Linked DNA regions of Lepisosteus oculatus. The protein of the gene in region 1 interacts with the protein of each later gene in a biochemical or structural test. Links are inferred from orthologs where the notes say so. Each region holds a gene or a part of one and is shown in the gene's direction. Other genes may lie near its edges. The genes, in order: ago2, dicer1 and trinucleotide repeat-containing gene 6A protein.

Evidence for each region.
Region 2: the proteins of ago2 (region 1) and dicer1 form a complex in vitro, tested with the Homo sapiens proteins (2 studies listed by BioGRID and IntAct). The link is inferred for Lepisosteus oculatus from reciprocal best matches to the Homo sapiens genes AGO2 and DICER1.
Region 3: the proteins of ago2 (region 1) and trinucleotide repeat-containing gene 6A protein form a complex in vitro, tested with the Homo sapiens proteins (2 studies listed by BioGRID). The link is inferred for Lepisosteus oculatus from reciprocal best matches to the Homo sapiens genes AGO2 and TNRC6A.

What each region holds. Positions count from the first base shown.
Region 1 is NC_090705.1:34,006,859-34,013,958, forward strand, and holds the start of ago2 (protein argonaute-2), read left to right. Parts: upstream 1-4,048; 5' UTR 4,049-4,253; coding exon 4,254-4,278; intron 4,279-6,947; exon of another isoform or gene 6,948-7,100.
Region 2 is NC_090703.1:556,469-564,161, forward strand, and holds the start of dicer1 (endoribonuclease Dicer), read left to right. Parts: upstream 1-4,696; 5' UTR 4,697-4,780; intron 4,781-7,693. Other genes in the region: clmna (calmin), read left to right, coding at 1-1,307, 1,962-2,143, 2,638-2,728, 3,074-3,138, 4,531-4,696. UniProt on the Homo sapiens protein: Double-stranded RNA (dsRNA) endoribonuclease playing a central role in short dsRNA-mediated post-transcriptional gene silencing.
Region 3 is NC_090714.1:11,923,224-11,930,536, forward strand, and holds the start of trinucleotide repeat-containing gene 6A protein, read left to right. Parts: upstream 1-4,263; coding exon 4,264-4,362; intron 4,363-7,313.

The sequences.
Region 1 (7,100 bases):
CCCACTGAGAGCTGATGTGTGGAGAGTGTACTGGTGCACATTGCATCATCCAGGTGGGGCTGCACACGTGGTGGTGGAGGGGAGTCCCCATAATCTGTAAAGTGCTTTGAGTGGAGTGTCCAGAAAAGCGCTACATAAGTGTAAGTTATTATTACTCAAAGGGATGAGCAAATGTATCCTGATCCATTTGGAGGGGAGTATGCACTCCCCTCCACTTTATCCCTGCTTCATAGAGCTGATAGAGCTCATTACTCTTGTGGTTGATTTGTAATGTTGCTGTGTGGTTTAAATCAAGATCGGTCTGAGGGAACTTACAGAAACACATGGCTTTACTATAAAGCCGAGTTAAAACACTTTGATCACACGCAGACAGAAACCTTTACACTAATTTGGTGACCTTTCAAACTACTCTTTTAACTTAGTGAAACCGAGAGTAAAACTAAATGTCACATTCCAAGATTTAGTGAAGATTTTGTGTTGACAGATATAAAAGTTCTAAGGTACTTGAGCTGTGAGATGTACATACTGTATATCATATATTTAAACATCATAATAATTATTAAACAGAGATTTGGGAAACATATGGAGTACTTTTCTATGGTTTAGTAAGAATAATCAGAAAGAACAGTTCAGCTGTTATCCATAGTTCAATTGTAAGAGTTATGAAATAGGTGCAATAGCATATTAACAACATGGTATGACATATTGCATTAACATTTTAGAAAGAAACCATTTACCTATTACAATGGTTTGATTTAACAGTGAACCATTAAGTATTAGATATTTATTTTGCAATCAATAATTGTTTTTCATGTTCTTATCTATGTTAAAAACATACTCTCACGTTGCAAATATAATTAAGATATGATTATACCTTGTAAACTTATTTTTGTTGAGAGTGGAGGATTCTGGTATCTTTTCCAGAGGCAAAAAAAATAATGTAGAAACAACATATATTTCCTTCTATTTAGAATCATTGTTATTTTAATGTTATTAAACAAACAACATGTTTATAAAATAGCAATGGAAATATCTGCATCATCCTAAATTTATGGAAAAGTGTCGTGTTTGCAGTCTGTCTGATGTGTAGAAAATGAGTGACCTCCCAAGATGGGCTGGCTCACACTAACTGAGAAAAGCCAAGTAGAATATGATCTAGAGTAAAAACAGATATGAGTCATGTATCATATTTGTGCAAGACTGGCTTCACACTGCTTTTTTTCCCTAGAATTTACTGTTCCCATGTGGGGCTGAAACAATGATATGACTGGCTCTTGAGTCAGATTCATGTGTAGAATATCTGCATGCAGCTGCATTCTGGAAATTACTGAATATTGTAGGGCCATGCGTTACTGTACGTAACCCTGTTACTAGATTTGAAAAAAGCAATGCATCAGTCCTAACATTTGGTCCTTATTATAAGACTGCTGAGCACATCCTCTGACATTATCACACAAATCAGGCACACACTAATGCAAAGCAAAAATATAACAATAATAATTCCTTACTTAATTCGTTAATTATAGTGCTTTTCAATACAATAGATCTTAAATATCTTAAACATAGGAGACGATCCACTTCACCAACCAATAAATACAGCTCCCATCTCGGTCGTACGCAGAGATTCCCAGACACAGCAGAGGTAGTAAGAAAATGCTTAGCTGAATTAAGGGGGAATTCTGGTTAGACCAGATGGTATAAACCTAGAGTAGAAATTAGCAAGCACACAAGTCTTTAGTTTTACAAACATGGGACAGACTTTTGTTACCGAAATTTAAAGTCAGCAAAACGGTAAAGGTTTGTTCCATGTTGAAAAGACAAGAAGAGGAACACAATGTTTCAGCTGGGGAGCCTTCTTTGGGTATGCTTTTTTCAGCATGAAATAAACCTTAACTTGTTCCTTTGCAGGCTACCATGGTAACACAACTACATACTTGAATTAGTCAGCAAAGAGGCCCTTGCATTTTTTAAAGAAAATTATTTCTGTTGTGAAAACACAAAATATGTGTAATGGAGAATATAGTATTGTTAGGACAACTACTGCAATCAAGAAACTGGATTCTGATAAACATTATTAAGAAGATATGTTTCCAAGTTCATAAAACATTAATATAACAATATTCTTAACATTTTTCAGTTAGATAGTATTAAACAAATTGTGATCAAGCTAGCGTTTTATTGGAAGGACTTATTTGTAATTTATGATTCATTAATTTAATGAAAATGCTGTAGTCTTTTGTTTTGACAAGTTTAGACGGTACATTTCAGACTATAAGCAGTTTCAAAGTACTTTCATTTTCAATGCTTGTGTTTGCAAAAGGATTTAAAATAAAAGCAAAGGAACTGACCATTTTTTAGTTTTATTATTGTTCTTGCAGTGTAATTAAATTTTACATATTAAAATAGAAAAGCTTCTGCAAAAGCCATCACAGTGTTATATCACATAAAGAGTTTGGTTACCGCAGAAACAGTTTTGATTTGATCCCAAAGAAAAAACATTCACTGCATTTGTAATCATTGGGCTGGTCAGGAAGATAAGATAAGATAACACTATCCCAAAGGGAAATTGGGGAATTTCCTAATTTTTTTTAGAAATTAAGTAATTGTAATTTCCATTCAAATATCTTACTTTCGGAAAGAAAAAACATAATCAAAAACCAATATAGGGTTTGGCATGCTATTGAAAAATATTACCTCTCTCCAGTCAGTCTGCAGAGGAGCAACTAGATACATTCTGGGCCTTAAAGGAATGTTTGGCACCAACAGGTTTTAGGACATGAACCTTTTTAGGTCTGAGCAAAGAGCACTAAAGACAGGAGGGAGCGATCCAAGTATTCAAAACCTCAAAGTCAAGCCAACTTCACAAGTGGATACTATGTGGTAGTTCATTTGAATCTGAAAACAGGAGGCATTTACTTAAACAACATTACATTATTGAAACAATCTACATTGTGAGAGTGTAGAGCAAACTACCCGTCCATGCTGCTGAAGCCGAAACTCTGCCTTCTTTCACAGAAATAAATGGGCGTCATCATGTGGTCAATTACAGCCACAGACGGGTTTTATGGGTCTAATCGGAAGCATAGAGCCCGAGAAAAGTACAATTATCATGTCAGTTGAATTCACGCTGCTTTTCCAGACAACCCTACTGCACCGTCTAGAATCCATAAAATAATATTTGGCGGTTGCATTTTGAGTTCTAGTTACAGATTCATAATTACACGTGGGAAATGATCAACGCTGTTTAAAGTCGAAACAACGCGTTCTTTTCTTCCTAAACTTGGGCTCTGGGGGAGATGAACAGGATAACAGGCAGAAAGACACGCTTGCAGAGGTTGGCAGAGGACGTGAGCGTCGCTTGAAAAAGTTCCCTCTCCAAGTACAGAGGACTCCCGCTTGCAGTTAACAGGGAGGGGAGCGAGGCGGGACATCGCGTCTGGTATGCAAACAGGACAGTCTTGATGCGTGTTTTCTGAATGGCCGTTTTTATAACGGCTAACCACGCCGCAATTATGTTTCAGATTTTAGAGTAGCCCCATCCTCTGTTTATACTTTACGACGAAAAAAAAAGTAACATGTTAAAAGAAGTCATCACAGATCAAAGACACTCAAGCCCTTATTTACTTTATGTTACACGCGACTGTTCCTGGTACCGACACTTAAATGGAAATATTTTTTATATTGTCCCATACTAGATTAGGGCGCCTGCAAAGTAAATATAGTAAAATAATAAAAAAAAAACTGGTTGGTATCCGGTTTACAAATCATCGTCAAAGCGGGCTGTATTTTGTGACTGAGCCAAGTTTTTGTTCCTTCGAAGCCTGTAAATGAACCACATTAAAAAACAAACAAACTGTACAGGCAGGTACGTTTTTGCCAGTTTTTTGTTGTTGTTGTTGTTGTTTCCCGGTGCGGTAACTGAAAAAGCCCATCGCTTCAAGCCTATGAACACCGCGCAGCGGCGGCGTCCGCCCAGAGGGCCCCGGGCGAGCACATGGCTTTCACCGCGCCGGCCCCCCTGGGTGACGTCACGGCCCCTTCTCCTCTCCTGCGGTGAGCTGCTGGGGGAGGAGCGGAGGAGCCCAACTAGCGAGGATCCGTGTTTGTGTTTCATTCCCTTCACCCCCCAACTTTAATCCTCTCGAGTGAGGCTGCCCCTCTTGTTCAACGTAATCACGGCGAATAATTTTTTCTTTGGGGGGGGTGGAAATCTGAAACGTGGAAAGTGAACGGCAGCCGGACGAGACGGAAAGATGTACACGGGAGGAGCAGCTGGCGGTAACTTCATCTAGTTTCTTTTTTTAAAAAAAAAATACTACAGAATGTGTGTTGATGGGGGAATTTAAAAAGCGGAGGAGGAGGTGGTGGTGGTGGGGGGGAGCGTTTATTTGTTTAAGTTTGCCTTTTAGTGGTTCCGTAAGGAAAGTTGGGCTTCCAGTTGAAAATCGCTTCGTGTTTGCAAATCGCCAGGCGTGGGGGGAATGAGATAACGAGTCTTGACGCGGAGAGCGAGTCTGGAGGAAAGAGTTGGGAGCAGAAGGGAGGGATAGAGGCCCAAGACACCGATAACGTGAGGAGAGTAGGTCGGGGAGGGGGGGGTTATCGTGGTACGATTTCGGACGAGCCCCTTGCGAGGTGAGCCGGAGTGGCGCCGCGGTCGTGCGAGTTGGCGCACCAGCTGCGCCTCACGGCGGTTTCTGGTCGCGCTGGCGGGGTTGGCGGTAGGCCTGAGCGCCAAGCCCCGAGCTGGCGTGAGCGCGCAGGCGGGGGGACCGGGGCTGAACTCCCGGGGGCATCCGGCGCTGGCGGCTCGGAGTCATGGAACCGGTGCACCCCGCTTCCTCCTGCGGAAACGCACGCTGAACAAGCTCACGAGTTTATCAACGTGAAAATAATGACTAAATATGGTCTATAAGGCTGCTAGGCACGTCTCTGTACACTGGACAGCACAATGGTTGCGATACTGTACTTTCAGCATCGTGGACTTTTTCTGCTCTGAGACCAATGTTTTCGTCAGCTAGCGCGTATTAAATGCAGAATTTGTACGACACAATTGTGGCTTTTGAATATGTAGGGTGGATCTTGAGATCTTATATCAGTGGTGGAGTGTTATGTGTTGTTAACGGCAGCAAGAGTTTAACTTCATTCCCACACAACTGGGTCGTTCATTACGGTGATGTTGTTATTGAGGGTTTTAAAGTGAAAAGTGCGCAGCTAATGGTAGTTTATCTGTCTAATTTCCACTGTGAACCACAGCGGTTCAGGTTGCGGTTTGCCTGGCATCAGAGCATACCTGTTTTTGAAACTGGAACTAGACCAGAACTACAATCTAAACTCCTTTTTTTGTATCCGAAATGCATCGGTTTTTTTCCCGCTGGCTCTCCTTGCCCTTTTAAGTAATTACACACTGCAACACAAGACATTTTACGTTGTGTACTGTATTACAAAGGGACTTTATATGTGATCAAGAACGCAGATTCCAGTAATGCATCTTCAGTTTACCTTAATCATCCTCATTTTCCCTTTCCCTTTGACTGAAGGGGGCTTTATCTGGGAGAAAGGGGATGTCCCTGTCATCTCAACGGTAGGGAGGGATAACTTGGCTAGTGTAGGTGCAGAAAGATGAAGCTATTTTTGAAGTAGGCCATACGTCTTTCAGTGTGATGACCACAAATATCCATGTGGTAATTGAAATTGTTCTGTTTTAAGACATATGAATGACAAAGTAGTATGGGCTAAATTTCATTAGAAGATGACTGCTCTAATGGCATTTTGGTGTGGATATCACATCTCCCATTTGGCTTTGATATTCTTGAAAACTAGGTATGGCTCATATGTAGTAAGTGCTATGAGTGATTTTGAGTGTCAAAATGAGAAGGTGATTGTGCCTCGCCCCTGGTACAGAATGATGTTAAAAAAACTGTCTAGGGTAGATAAAAAAACCCTAAACTGATGGCGGGATTTCAGTATGCTTCAGTTAAGCGTTCTTAAAACTGCTGCTTGGTTTCCTCTGATTTCTAGATTCAGACGTGAGCGAGTTATGTGCTATCCTCAGGTTCACTCAGTTCCTGACTGACAGAAGAGTATCTTAGTCAAGTATCTGCACAAGTTCCTGGAATTTGCTGGCCAGTTTGTATGATCTGAAAGCCTTGCACAAAAGCCAGGCCCAGTTGGCTCAGAGCAATCCATTGCACTCTTATTTTGTAGCTACAAGTACAGCTTTGCTCCCTTTTACAGCCTAGAACAGCAGTAACACATTATGATCAAAACCTCAGAAGGTCTGTGAGCATAGTGATTCGTATTTGGATTTCCACAACTTATATATTGTAAACTCACGATGTATTATAAACTCAGAAATAAGTTTATTGTTCAGATGAAATGTATAAGGAGTGTTTAAAGCTGTATTTTGTTTTAAAAGCAGACCCTTGGAAACAAAGGTTGGTTGTAATACTAATTTGATATTTTCAACAGTGACTCAACTTTTCGATGGCGAGTTCACTTGTAGCATTTAAGTAAGTGAAAATGTTTATAAGCCTTATATCAGATATTCTGGATTGCAAATGGTAGGGAAACACACTTGGAGAGTTTTTGATTATTATTCGGGGGATTTTTTCGAGACTTTCTGGCAGTGGGCACGTGGAAAAAGGTCAGATCCTGGATCGGACGGCACTGTTTCTAAAAAAGGTTTGTGAGATAGTGGAAGATACGGAGGCACACTTTCTTGGAAAATTGAGTGTCTGCCTTTTCACTTGATCTACAGACATGAGAAACCTGTCTCGGCTGTTACTATTTGTTTGTGATAGATTGGATGAAAAAGATGAGATCAGTACAAAATTGGCCTGTCAGCTCTGTTCCAGCAGAATTAACATCCTGTATGTCTGATTCCTGACCCTCAAATAATCAGTTTGTAAATTTGTGCAATAATATTTTACTAATCATATATGGATGTGATTTGGTCAGTTACACTTATATAGCTCTTTTCTAGACACTCCACTCAGAGTGCTTTACGGTAATGGGGACTCCCCTCCACCACCGCCAGTGTGCAGCCCCCACCTAGCTGATGTGACGACAGTTCACCAACGTAAGCTCTTAGTGGGAAG
Region 2 (7,693 bases), on another chromosome or scaffold:
TCCCACCAAAGATATTCATCTCCTCTGCATCAGATGATCCAGAACACACATCTCCCGACAGAGGTGGGCACTGTCAGCCCTGGGCCCACGGAGACGACTCCTCGGAGTCCACCTCCAGCTCCGCAGTATCTGCCGGGAATGGAAAACTGCCCCTGGAGCTGTGCTCTGAGATGTCCTTCCTAGTGTCCAGCTCGAGCTCCCCGCAACCCTCCTTCGTGGACTCAGTGCTTGACTCTCCGGACTCGCTGAGTGAGATTGCGAGTGAGTCCATGCCGCTGGATGGAGAAGGACAGTCTTCCGACAGCAGAAGCAGCAGCTGCCTCAATGAAAGCGATCCTCCTTTTGATCCCAATGGCAAGTGCTCCCCTGAGAAATCAATAAAAACTGTAAAGAAAGATTATATCCAGGGCACGGAAACTCCACTAGAAGACAATGCTGCAGAAGACAACATTTTTTCTGACCTTTTTATCGATGAAGGCACTTTCTCACAAAGTTCTGTGGATAGCTTTCACATGAAATCCAAGCTTCTGTCTGAGGAAGAAGATGCATACAGATACATCTTGGATTTGAATGATGCTGAAAATGCAAGTCAGTCAGAGTGCTGTAGTGGTCAAGAGGAGATTAGCACACCCAGTGAAGCCCAGGACAGACTGGAGACTGCGCTTAAGCAGAATTGCCTGTTGCATCACAGTTTAGAGGAGATAGTCCCCTCATTTATGGCTTCGTCCAGTGCTGACTTGTGTGGGAATACTGTCCCTTCAGAGCAGGACAAAGAAAGGAATCAGGAAGGGCTGAAACTAGATGCATGCACCAGACCTGAAACTCAATGCACCACCCAGCTGCTTTGCATTAATGAACCTGGTGAAATGAATGGAAGTGTGGTATATAATGCTAGACAAAATAGTATTTTACCTGTGGACATGGTGTACTACCCTTGCTATGAAGAAGCCGTATCAAATGTTTCTGGAGCATTTTCAAAGCCGGTCACTGAAAGAAAGCAGCTTCTATCTGGTCCATCTTTAGGTTCTGACAGTGCTCCAGCACAGTCCGATCACCATAGAAACACAGAAGCCTGCACAGGGAATCACCCAGACATGCTAGAAACAGAACTTCATGCTGATCTGGAGCACCTTAACAGAGTCACAGAAAGGTCTTGTCATGGGTCCATGTCTGCACAGCAAGACAGGGGGACAGAGGACCACTACGAGTATGTGGTCAGTACTGACGGGGAAGTGTCCACAGACAGGCTGTCAGACTCCATCAGAGATTGTCTTGCAGAGCAAAGCCAAGGCTCCAGTCAGTATCAGGTATGCAGAGATTTGGAATTAAGTATTTATTATTATTATTGAAATAGGGAATAAGATTACATGTTGTTAATGTGCTGCATCTTGTTTTAAAGATTTGTCTGACTTTTTATTCAAAAATGATTTATTATTAATCGGCTACCTGTTAAGCTCACTTATTTAGGGGAATATTCAAAGGATGAATGTATTGTAATAAATGAGTAACAGATGCCTTAGTTTACTTAGTAAAGTTAAATATTTTTAAATGTATCTTTGAATTTTTACACATTTTCATTCATATGTATCTTTCCTTTAGTGGGGAACAAGAGTGGTATTATATGGAAGTTGTATTATTTTAAGCAGGCTATTATAAAACTAGAAGGGTTGTACTATTTATTTAATAATACTGTATGAATTCCTGACTATCACCAACCAACCTTTTTTACTGCTGAAATGTACTGAAAGTGGTGGTAAAACTTTTTGGTAGCTAATAATTCATCACAACATGCATTGTAAATTTAAACTGATGTTCCTGAAGCTTCAGTGTTGAGGTATGTCAGTTCGATTATGTAGCCTGTGTGACACCTGTGCTGTTTCCCTTCTTTACTTAACTTAATGTCCTTCCCCTCTGGCTGAGTCCTTGCAGGCTGTGATTGCTCTCTCTTTATTCATGGCCAGGATGCAGGAGAACAGATTGAGAATAAAATGCCAGGAGGTGTGGATTGTGATAAGAAGGAGCAACAGAAAGAGGACTTCTGGGATTTAGAAGATGTAGAATCAGATGTGTCTGAGATCAGCTGTGAATTTATTACTGCCACAAAAGGACATACTGCTGCTGGAGAAAGCACAGACTTACCGAGGTACCACAGTTATCTGATGTAACACATAATATTCTCCTACATGGTATAAATAAGAAATGTTGTCTCACTGGTGATTGATGAATATAAAGATAAGGTAATATTTAATTATATTAGCTGTGCCTTAAAATGACATTTAGTTATTAAGATACTTTGAACTTAATGGCCTACTTGGAACTGAAAATTTGGTCTGTGCCACACGAGCTCATGGCCTTAATCTGCAGTATCCTAGTCAAAAGGAAGGAGTGTGCATGCTGGACACACCAGCAGGTGTTACTCTACTGCTCTGCGCCTTTGGCTCATGCGGTGTGACAGCTGCTGCGGTCTGTTGATATTCATGTCAGGGTTTTTACCGGAATCAGTCACAGTCAACAGGATACTTTTTTTAGCCTTTTGTCAAAAGCAGCATTTGCTCCCATTTCCCCCTTCAGTAAAAATGAAAGAGTAGTTCAGTAAAGTGGTGGAAAACATTAAATACATTTATTCTCTCTGAGCAGCACAGCGGCACCGTGTGATGATTCACTGAGAGAAAGCCACCTTTCTCACATGCTATACCTGAGGAAGCTTGATGACAGTGAGGACATTAAGGTAAGTTAATAAGAAACCCAGCCTTAAAGAAAGAATTCAGTCATTTTAAAATATCTCCCTATAATGTGCAATTTAAGCAATGTGTGATAAAGAAACCTTTAACTTTTTTGGAAGATTTTACTTCTCCATTAGCTGAATGTAGAGATGCATGTAGAAATTAGTTTTTTAGAAAGGTTCACCATTTCATTGGCTTGTGTGGAGATTAAATCTAGAACATATTGCAGTTGTTTTATCTACCTCTACAGTTTCAGACTTGGAAAAACTCAACACATCTGTGCCAAGTTGTCTCCATTTAACACGAAGCATGCAAAGGAAATGAACAGGTGTTTTTTTTTATCTTAACAGGAGACAAGCATGAAGATCAAGGCGAAAGGGTGTGAGACAATTCAGACAGTTAGTTCTGATACCAGGTATTTTATATGAAGACGCCTAAACATTGTACTGTAATTCTGCCCACATTTATCATTGTATACTGTATCACATCACCTCACTTTATTAGCCACATACAATTGTCTTGCATTAGGAATTCATCTTCTCGCATACCCCAGGTTGCTCTCCATGAGACACAGACACACAGACAGGGAGAGAAGCTTGGGGTCAGAGCGCAGGGTCAGCCATTGTACATTGTACAGCCCCTGGAGCAGTTGGGGTAAAGGGCCTTGCTCAGGGGCCTAACGGAGAAGAGTTCCTCTGTCGGCCACAGGATTTGAACCAGCCACCTTCCAGCCACTGGCATAGATCTTTAGCAAAAGTGCCACCACTCCGCCTGTTGTAGACTGTTGCTGAAACAAATACTAAAAATCATTAGACAAATATTACAATTACATTGTGATTATTGATTGATTTATGATTATTTTAAGGCTTTTCACATAATTTATACATTTTATTAAATATTTCATCTTACTTTAAATTATTAACTTATCTAGATGCCACCTTAATGTTCAGATCCGGAAGTGCAAAATGGCTGCTGTATTAATTAATCAGTCAATCTTTTATTTGCTTTAATTGCCTTTGCAATAGTTTGTCACAGAGCGCTTTACACATTCACAATATAATGGTTTAGGCTTGGTCATGCATGGAATTTGTTTGGAGTACAAAACAAATTGGACCTTGAAGGATATAGTAAGAAGATGAACAGTTTATCTGTATCTTTTTCCAACAGTAGAGGCTAGATAGGTCGAGTCAGTCACAGTTAAGGATTAAGGCAAAGATAGAGAGCACAGGGTTCACCAAGGAAGCCTAAGAGGCTGGTTGTGCCCCTTGTAGTGGGAGCACAGAAAGACAGTCTTCCAGCAGCACGCAGTGTCATGTAGCAGGTCAGAATGAATACAGAATGACACAATAGGCTCTGTGGTATTAACAGTTCAGAGAGTCTCAACAAATCCAGTACTCTTAACTCGGTAAGTGAATTCTGCAATTCTGTATTGAAAAATGTGACTCGTACACTTACAGGTGTCCTGGATCTGGAAGTAGCTCTTAGAGCCTGAAGAAATCATCGTTACTCACCTTGTGCTCACATTCAGTGAGCCTTTTGTTCTGTTCCACAAGCTTTCTGTGTGTGTTAATATTGTACACTCATCAAATTAGATATTACCAGGTGTTGTCTACTTTCGTTTTTTCCCATGACAACCACTTGTAAGTTAAAGTTCTCACTGTGCTGCTGGAGGATCTCAGATACAGAGGTCTGCACTGCCTCATGGTGTTGCAATCACCATGCTTGAGTCAGAGGCTCATCACCTCCTTCATCACAGGGTGAATGAACCCCTGGACATTGCCTGAATGGCAGCTCTCTTATCTTGCAGAGAGGAGTACAGCGGTTCAGAGAGCTCGCCAGAGACGCCTGTCAGCTCTTCGGAGGACTGCATGCAGCTGCTGCTCTTCCTGTGGATCCTCCTCTATTGCCTTTTTCTCATCCCCCAGCTGGACCTTGAAGCTCTGCCACATGCTCTCCTTGCACTGAAGAAATGAGGAGCTCTGTTACATGTTACAGGCTTCACGGAAGGTCACAATCGACAGAGGACAATCAAGAGCACAGAATGTTAATCTACTCATGTTTGTACATATGCATTTTTGTTTTATTTTTACTTTATAACTTATTACTGACTTCGTAGCCCAACTGGAATCTGAAAGGACACTAGACTGCAAGGAGTCACTAGATGGTACAGTAACAGCGCTGCACACGGTTTACTGCCTTTAGAAAGTCTTTTATTACAGTGTTCTGTAGTTTATAAATAATTATTATTGCTTGTAAAAGAGCCAGTCATTCTAAGTGGAAGGATGGTACAGTTTTTTTCACCAGTGGATATTGCAGCAGTAGTTTCAGTTTTGAAATATGCAAGGTGTTATGTCACCTTGTGCCACTTTAAAGCATTAGTCCATGGACTCCACATCAGTCTCTGTGTTCCTATACTTGTGCTGCTTACATTTTCTATAGACAGAAACTGCCAAAGATACAGTACAGTATTTAGAGTGGAGAAAGGCTGGGCCTCTTCTTTTGCTTTGCTTACAAAGTAAATACAGTCTTGGTCTGTGCATTCTTTTGCATTTTAAATTAGGCAAGCAAGTTTTAGTGTGAGAGAGTGTTTAATTTATAATTGCTTTTTTGCCAAACATGAAGAAAATAATGGAACTTTTTGTGTCGCAAATAATTTTACATAAAATGTAAATATATAGAATGAATACTGTATTCATTTCTATTTTTATTGTTTCTTTCGTCATAAGGTTTATAAATTCTTGATTTCAGAATTCTTGGGATATTTAAAGATCTAAAAATGCACTTATTTACGTATAATTACATTGGTAATATTTAAAAAATAGTCAGGCTTTAAAATTGTTTTTGTACAATTTATATTAATGAGAATGGAACTACAGAACTTTAAAGGTTTTATAATGGATCATGTATTAATTGTATTTCTTTTGTTAAAGGATGTTAAAAGGTTTCAATATAGTGCTTTACAAGTAATCTGAAAAAAACTAAATTTTCATACGAATGAGTTCTAATTAAACTGTATAAAATGGTAGATTTTTTACTGTTACCCGAATGATTAATTTTTAAGCTATGGGTTTTGTTGTAACAGAAGAAATAAGGTTCTTGATCCCGAGATGAAGTGAAACAGATGAGTTTATTGCATGCAAGGAACAATAAAGCCGAAGTCTTGTTTCCCGCAAGAAACAACAAAACCGAAGTATTGTTCAACGTACTGTTACAAACTTTTGGGTTATATAGTGTTTTCTTCTCCGTTTCTGACGTCACTCGGTATGATGGTAAAGAGGGGGGTTCATGGTATTTGGCCAGTTTACGATGTTCTGGGCAAATGGTCAGTTTAACATTACACCCAGGGGGGTTCCTAGCTGGCATCTGCAATCCTTATCAGTTAACCCCCTTTCCTGCCATAAACCCCTGCTTGTGACTTGGAAGTCTAAACCCCCTACAGAAAAGATTAAATTCAAACCCCCGTCTTCACATCTTTCTTCATTCCCCCCTTATAAAATATGGCATACGTCAGTGTAGCCTATTTTTATACATACAATGTCAGGGCAGATCTTTCCTTTCTTGGCGAACAGGTATGTATTGCCATGACATTGTACATTCCACGGTTATGGCAAGATGTGATACATGTTTTTGTGCACGTGATGATTACAATTATACATATAAACAATACTACTCCTACAGATAAACACTATAAAAAGGTTCCACCCCAGGCCCCAAACACAGACTTTACCCAAAACCCAATTCCCCAATTTTCAGTATAATAGTCCTGATATTTCTGTCCCTCATTGTAAATGTGTTGGGCCAGATCTGAGATGTGCTCAGAATTATCAGGGATATATGTGCAGCATTCAGTGCCAATTACTGCACAAGTTCCTCCTTGGGCCGCCAGTACATAATCTAAAGCTAGTCGGTTCTGCATGGCCACTGTTCTGAGGGCTACCATCTCATCATTAACAGCCTTCAGACTAGATGAGGTAGAATTTGCTAATTCTTCTAAAGTCGAAGCCATTTGAATTAACTCTCGACTCAGAAAGTTCATGCCGGCTTGTGGAAATATTATACCTAAATAATATTCCCAATCAGCCAATTTTCTTTGTGGTCTGTGGTTAGGTCCGAAGGGGGTGTGGGTTTGAACACGGATATGAGGAACCACATATCCTAAATAACATGAGCCAGACCACTGGGCTGGCAACCATGGGTAGGCTCGTTTTCCACAAATGAAATATGTTCCGTTTGGCGCTCCCCATGCCTCTGAAAATAAGAAACTTATACCGAATTGTGGGGTGTGCCGATCCCATCCTGGAATTTGGAAGGTAGAGGTGGATATATTTGCAGCGATGGTAAGGTTGCAACGACTCCATCCAACCAAGTGCAGACCATTAGTGTGCTGAAAACATATGTTTCCCTCACGTTCCTTATTTAGAGTCAGGTATGGTGGTGTATGGCTTCTGTTATATTTAGGAGCGTAAGAGCCTGTGAAACTCGTGGGCTCTAAGCCTCGCTCCTGTAGATACTGTAATGTTGTGCAGGTTAAAGTCGTGTTATGGCAACCCCCATAGTTTGTCATATTAAAATCTCCTAAATTATCCCTCCAAATGATCATGCCTATGACTTCCTCGAGACGCCAAGGAATGGCTCCCATAGGAAGTCCTCCCTGTACATATTTGGGTAATGCTGCACACACACAGCAGGCACTTTGGTTGGTTTTCTTAGCTGTCAGATAGGAGAGGCCTAAAAAGGAATTAATTCCATGTTCTCCTTTGTGGGAGAGATGATCATTAATCCCTGCGGAACATAGTTCTACAGCAACAATTATCATTATTGACAGAAATGATTTCATTCTGAGTCTGTAAATGGGGATGAGGCTCGTCGGCAGTGTGGCGCGTGGATCCAGCGATCTTTTCCTTCCACTCGAACCGCAGACTCGGTTGTCAACAGGATCTGGATCCCATCTGGGCTGGAGAACCTGTGAA
Region 3 (7,313 bases), on another chromosome or scaffold:
ACAGGTCACAGCCATTGAAGCATTATGGCACAAGTTCACGTCAGTCTACTTCTGGATTGTTGCGTGTAAACTGTTGCATTCAGAGAACTGTAGGTGTGAAACTCAGGCTCTGTGACATTAGCATTTTGGATTTGTCTCCCTGACATAACTCCTGCACTTTGACTAAGGCCGGAACAGGGCCCTTGAAGGCTCCTAGTTCGCTATGTTTTCTCTGGGACAGGCTGGTCTGGAGTGAGGGAGTTTCCAGAGAAAAGGGTGACCTCTGGGGAAAAAACAAAGAGATTTTATCTGGTCTCGGTTTGTTTGCAGCACCCCCTGCTGTAATTACATATGGACCTTTTAAAAAATGGATGAACGTCGCTCACTGCAGATAGTTATATTAATTTTTTAGCCAAATTTATTTAAGATTGTATAGCAAGGAATGGTAGTGTAGTACTTACAAATGAACTACCTTGCTCAAGGGTACAATTCTAAAGCCCTTACCACTGCCCAAATTGACCAAATGTATTAGCAAACCCCAGCTACTGGGAACATTTGTTTTCTTTTCAGTCTTCTCTGCACACGAACGTGCAATTTGTACAAATTTCTATTTATTTGTGACGGACCCTTCCCTTACCTAAGGCCACCCCAGGGATCTGCACGTATAAAAATGTCACAATAATGAAAAACAAGCACAGGCAACTTTATTATATTTTCAAGGCTTATAACAAAAAGAATGTAAAAAAGAACCAGCTCTATGCATACCCTTTAAATACTTCAAAAAGAACCCTGTTAAAACTCATGTGAGAATGTGCACATGTATTTTCTACCAGTAATTTGATTAATTATTGCCAGTGTGTCTATTCACAACAATTAGAGGCAGGTTTGGCATTCTCTAGTGTCTGGTTAGCTGTAATTGTAGATTTTTAAAGTCGATTTTTTTAAAATCTAAACAGAACTGAGCGTTTTCTTTTGGTATTAAGTTGAAAAAGTCTCATCTTTAAGAAGCTGGATTTGTTCTTCATTTTTTAAAGGAAGTGAAGAAGTCAAGAGCGAAGGAAATGTGGAGCTAAACACAAACTTTTCTGTGAGGTGAATTACCCCGCAGCCCGGAGCTCTGCTGTAAAGAGAGCTGACACACTGCTTCCTCAGTGCTCTCGTGGCATGCTTTCACATACCAGATCAGTCGAAGACCATATTAAATTACATCGACGGGAGTATTTACTCTGTGGCAGAACTTCCCTTGAAATATCTTGAGGTCACCGATTAAAAAGACAGTCAGCACGGAACAAGGCGATGAAAACAAACAAAACGCGTGGATCGCACTCTGTCGGGCGTGTTTTTCCTGTATTATTTTTCGGCTGTTGTTTCAAGCACTTTATAAAGAGCGCCAGGCCACATTTGGGCTGATATAATTTATGCCGGCACTGTTTTAATTACACAGTCGTGTCGTTTGTTTAGAAATTCCCATTACTGATGTCAAGTTGTGTTCATTATTCACTCAGGGCTTCGTAGCCCAGCTATTGTTCAGCGAGTGTTTTCCTCCAGACAGTCTGTGAAGCCGACCCCCACTGAAAAGCCCATTCCCTTGAATTAATCACAAGATGATATAGTTGGTGCCAGCTCTTTTTTAAGCCATTGATATAAAAGAGCTATTTGATTTAATTGGTATTTAAATGTACTCCAGATGAATGCCCACACTTCTACTGCTGTAAGTGGGAACACAGCTGTTTGTAATGAGCAAAATATGATTGTTATAACTGGGAGGGGGGGATACCTGGAACTCGTCAGACAGGGACAGACATGGCCTTGCTCTTTCTTCTAGATCCTGGCGGGTGTAACTCTTTTTCTGCCGCACACTTGAGATCTAGGAACACTGGGATTTCCACTTTGTCCTCTGTCTTGTCTATAGTTGCATCTGTTCAGGGAAAAGTAAAAGGTTTTGTTTATTCACCCGATGTTTCTGAGGAATGATGAGGTGCCAGGAATGGATTCTTGATGATTATGGACTTGTACATAAGGGACAAAAGTCTGTTTCTGTATACTGGTGGATCCCACCCCCATTAGATTGCTGAAGCCTTCATTGATCTAAGACGATCTAGGATCTATGATCTAAGATCCATTTGAATGTTTGCAGTCCACGTTTGGATTTTATTTCACTTAAAAAATAGATCATGTTTAAGAGCTGGGAACAAACAGTTCAACTTAATCTTATTATTCTTGGTAAAGCTCGTGAAAGGGTTTGATTGTGTAACTGAGAGCTCCATTGGAACAAAACGTGTGCAGACGTTTTTATGTGGGTGGCCAGCCCTTTCTTTGTGGGAACCCGTACTCTCAAGATTTTACTGGGTATCACTAAATTGTCAACCGGATAAGTACCCTGGAACAGAGAGCAATTTTGACCAGTTCTGCCCAATAATTGAATTAAAAGCTTGGATGGAATAAAACTCCATGTCCAGGGGCGACCAGTGCTTATTCTTGCAAACCGATATTGTGTGTGGGCATGATTGTAAGGTGAAAATTGTAGAAATATTGTATCTTTCACACGATGCATACTACATTGGTATCAACAATAAACCTTAGCTGAAAGAAATGGCCTTTTTCTGACTGAGGTGTAAGGATATATTTTTGTGTGTAGTGAACTCAGATTGTGGCTGGCTGAATAACACACAGGATATCTAATTTATACGAGCTCTGGAGGACTGAATGATGGGCGATTTGTCCCTCAGTACAACTAGAACAAGTTCTGTGTTTGGCAAGCCAAGTGTCCAAGTCAAGACTTGTGTCCAAGTATCTATTGCTTGTCTGTTGTGCCTTCTGTCAGACATCCATGCCATTACAATGTTATAAAAGGGTGTTATGCTTTAGATTGCTTTAGAGCTTTGTTTTTTGCATTCATTTAATTAATTTAGGAATCAAAAGATTGAATTAAGGTAAAACATAATTACATGATTTTGAGGTTCCTGAATGGTTTCATTAAATAGTGCAGGATGTCCTAGAAAAGTGCTTTAGGTCAAGATATTGAAGAGCATTTTAGAGACTGAAGGTGACTCTGGGTCAGGTTTCAGTTACATGTAGTAGTTTATTGTTACACGTACTAAATATATAGTATCGTCACTAGTTCTAAGCATTTAAGATAACCTTTTTTCCATAATTAACAATGATATAATATATAATGGAAAATATACACTATTAGCACAAAAGTTTAAAATAATCCAGTTGTGTTGAATTTTTTTATGAGAAATGTGAGTTCAGCGTTAGAGGTAAGATTATTTTAATTTGCTTAAAAATAACTCAACAACATAACTCAATAGATGTAATAGTATTTTCTAAGAGATTGAAGCCCTGTGCATAATGTTCATAATGAAATGATACTTCTCCCTATGATGATCTGAATGTTATTAAAGGACCAAATCTTTGCCAAAGATCTGGGGAATAAGATACTATTTATCCAAAGCCCCGTAGTGTATAATGGTATATATTTCCTCTTTGAGATTGTAAAGAAAACATAGTATGAACCATCCATGTCATTAATATGTTTGCAGAATATTATAACTTAAATAATATTCTAATTTCTCATAAAATTTAGTAATTATGTTTTTATGATATACATTATATAGATCATTTTTCTCCAAATAATATTCATTTATTCTTTCTTGCAGCCTGCAGTCGTTCCATGAAAGATTATATCTTTTGGAATTTTGTATGGTTTGAATATCTTTATGCAAAATTCTTTAAAAAATATTTTCTAGGTGATGCCAGAAATAAAATAAAATTCCTACCTTATATGAGTGGTAAATGTAGTGATCTAAACTTAAAGGAAACTGAGTGAATCAACAGCCGTGCGCGTTCAACTTAAAAGAAGGCAGCGTTGTTCCTGCGCATTCATAGTAAATTAACATTGCGAAAACAAAGTTCTGCTCTTGGCTGTCACCTGTCCCAGTTTCCAGATTTTCCAAGGGCACAAGGTGGAGGTTTTAACAAAAATTAAGCTGAGTGTTAGATTTGACTCGTGAAATAACGTGGACTTTCGAGTGTTAATAAACTCATTCGAATAACATTTTTTTTTTCTCAGTCGTGGCTCTCAAAAAAATAAAAGAACACCCCCAAAAAAGGAGACCCGTCCTGTGAAAACCAGCGGCGTTTTTTCGTGAAGGCTGGGGGCTCGCTTCCTCGGGCGGCATCCTTTCGGAAACCCGAGGCGTCCTCCTCGTCGGAAGCTACGTTTACCCCCCAATCCGTGTGCCGACATTTTAATTCGCCTCCAATCTCCCCCCTTCCGCCATGTCTGGTTCCTCTCTCCCTGCGTGTGCTGAGTGTGCTGGTCTGCAAAAGGCTGCTGCCACGCGCTTTGCTCTGGCATTCCTCTGTGCTGCGTGCCAGGTAAGGAGAGATCCGCGCCCGTCCGCTCCGCTCCGCGCCGCGCCGGGCTACGGGACGGGCGCCTGCCTTTATTTCGGGGGGTTCGTCGTCCTGCGGCTGGTACTGTTGAAAGGGCTGCAGATGAACGGAGCTGGGGTGGGGGGAGGAGAGGGGAAAAATAAAGGCAGGCATGCCAGTCTGCCAGTAGGTACAGATGCTGCGTAGTCTGTGCTCGTCCTTGAAGGCTGTCCAAGAGCTGGCTCAGGGCGCCGGAGGGGTGGCAGGGTTCCAGCCTCATCTCTCTCTCCCCCTCTCTCGCACGCTCCGTCTCTCTCCCTTTTTTGTTTTTTGTTTGCGTTTTGTCCGGCGGGCTGCGCGCAAACTGTCCCGTGTGCTCCTCGTCCTGTCAAGGGTGCCCCGCGACAGCCCGGGGCCGACGGGCGACCGACGAGGGGGTTGGCATGCTTTCCGTCCTCCCAGCCAGCGCCATTTGCCTTCACCTCCACCTGTCGGGTTGCAGGGGAGTTGGGGGGGGGAGGCATTGTCCCCCCTCACTCCTCCTCCTCCTCCTCATCCTCCACTTTTGTTGTGTTATTTTTTGTCACGAAAGCCGAGCGGCGGATGGCACCGTGCGGGGCTGCAGTGCTCGGCTGTGTGACGTCATGGCTGTCTGGCCAGCAGCGAACACGCTTTGCAGCGTGCAGGTTGCAGAGCATTTACTGCAGAGCCTGTGACCTGTTTTTCTTTCCCTGTGCAGCAGAAGAGGTTTTTTTGGGAGAGTGGGGGGGGTTTGTTGTTGCTTTGGTTGGTTATTTCCTCACGTCATAAATCCCGATTCATATCGCAGTAGTACCAGCTTAACCAGTGCCAGGTCGCAACAAAAGGGGGGGGGGGTGGGAAACCGAACAGAACAGTTTAGTCCTCTTTTCATTCCCCTTTTCTTTTTTGCCATCCATTATTTCGGTCCTCCTCCGTCCTGAATGGAAATTTCTCAGAGAAGTCGATCAGTGCCTGCTCATTTGAGAGGTAAATGAGAGCTGATTATTTAGTATCGGATGCATTATGTGTTTCGTACCAAAAAAAAAAAGAGAGAAAATCCTGTGGTTTTGATTTGTATGAATTCCACTGTTGCGGCATTGCATCTAGCCCGGGCTGCTATCTGAGGAGCTCTGAGGGCTGGGATGGTGCACAAAGGGAGAGCCAGAGAGGGTGGAAAGGACATTGCTGTAAGAAAACCTTGGCATCTTTTCTGGCATTGCTTTCGTTATTTATTTTTAAACCGTTGTCCCCCCCCCCTCTCCTTGCGCTTTTTGCCTTTATCCTTTGTTGCCCTTCGTTTGCAGCCGGCTGGAGTTTTTGTTTTGCGTTTTTTTCTTCTTCTCCTTCTCAGTCTGAGCTTCGTCCCCTTTTGTGAGAACGTTGTTTGGTACTGTCGCCGAGGCTGTGTGCCAAGTCTGTCTAATTAAGATTAAGCATATGCAGATTTGCCTTGTTTTCAGCTAATGACAGCTGCAAACAATTATTTGTCATGCTTGCTGATTGTTGATTGGTGAAAGGATAGCCATGAGAGGATTCTCAGCTTTCTCAGGGTGTGCGTGTGTCGGTGTATGTGTGTGTGTGTGTTGGTCTCGGTAAGTTTCGAGATGCTGTTTGTCTAGACAGACGTGGCCGGCGTAAATTTCTTTCATTTCGCCGTCTTCTCGTGATATCTTGAAACAAAAGAAGCAGTGGGAGAAAATTCTTGCGAAAGCAGAGGGGTTCATGCCTGCCTGCCTGTGTGGATGCTTGTGTTTCTCTGCTGCGGTGGGCTTCTTGGCATTGGGGGCCAATGTATAGGTTTTGTTCTTAGTGTGCCAAAAGGAGGATGATGGGGGGGGGGGGCATTGCGGCGGCCCTTCGTGCTCCTGAACGCCAGCGGGGTTAGTGATTCTATAGGGTCGCTTGTTTGTTTCCGTTTTGCGATTTCCATGTTGCCTCTGGGTTTTCATTTGTTTTGGGGGGTTCTTGCTATACAGCCACCGTGTAGGAACAATATGGGGGGAACAGCTAGCTCCTCGTTCAGCCTTCACAAGCTCATTGCGCAGTTAAAGGGAAGGCGTTGCAGCAGGCAGGGCTCTGGCTTCGCAGTCTTGTCCACGAAGCCCTCTTTGGCTCTGCAGCAGAGATCTGGTGCTCCCCTCTTCACAGCCTGGCACCACAGAGGCAGCTCTGATGAACCCTGTCTGGCCACGGAAGCTGAGAATCGGTCCGAGACAAATGCCTGCTCTCAGCTGGGCAGATGAGACTTTGTGACTTGTGGATCTGTTGATTTAAGAACATTTACAAGCGCTTCAGTCACAATCCAGATCCTCCCCACCTCCTGTCCGTTTGAAATGTTTTTGTTTTCTGGGTTTTGATGTAACAGAAGAGTGGGGCAGTGGTCTTGTCAAGGAAATACCAGGTACCAACCATGCTTGGAGGGTGAAAGACTTAAGCTGCGTTTCACAAAAATACTGTCTTTGTCATTAAAATTGCAGTTACTTATACAGGTATGAATCTGTCAGCACTATTGTGCAGGTGCATATAAATGTCTTTTTTTATGATTTGAATTATTAACACATTGTTTACCAGGAAAGTCTGGTGTGTGCAGGTGTGCATTGATCTTCAACTGGGTTTGCACTTTTAAATTGTCCATCAAGAAATGCAGTATGCTCTGGTGTGGAGAAACCTGTGTTTTACCTGGGAGCATTTCCCTGCCATCCTGGAACCAGTATTATATGAACGTCAGAGAGGCTGCACACGAGAGGAGGCTGTTTGCCCCATTGTGCTCATTTGGTTTTAAATCACGTAAGCGAAGATTTCCTCCAGACAGCAGTTCATGAAGGGGCAGTTCCTGATGGAGTTTGGGCTTCAGCCACCACACCTAACTAGAAGTCTGTCTAGGATTCGCACAGCTCTGTAAAGAAGTGTTTCCTATTCTCAATCCAAGACCT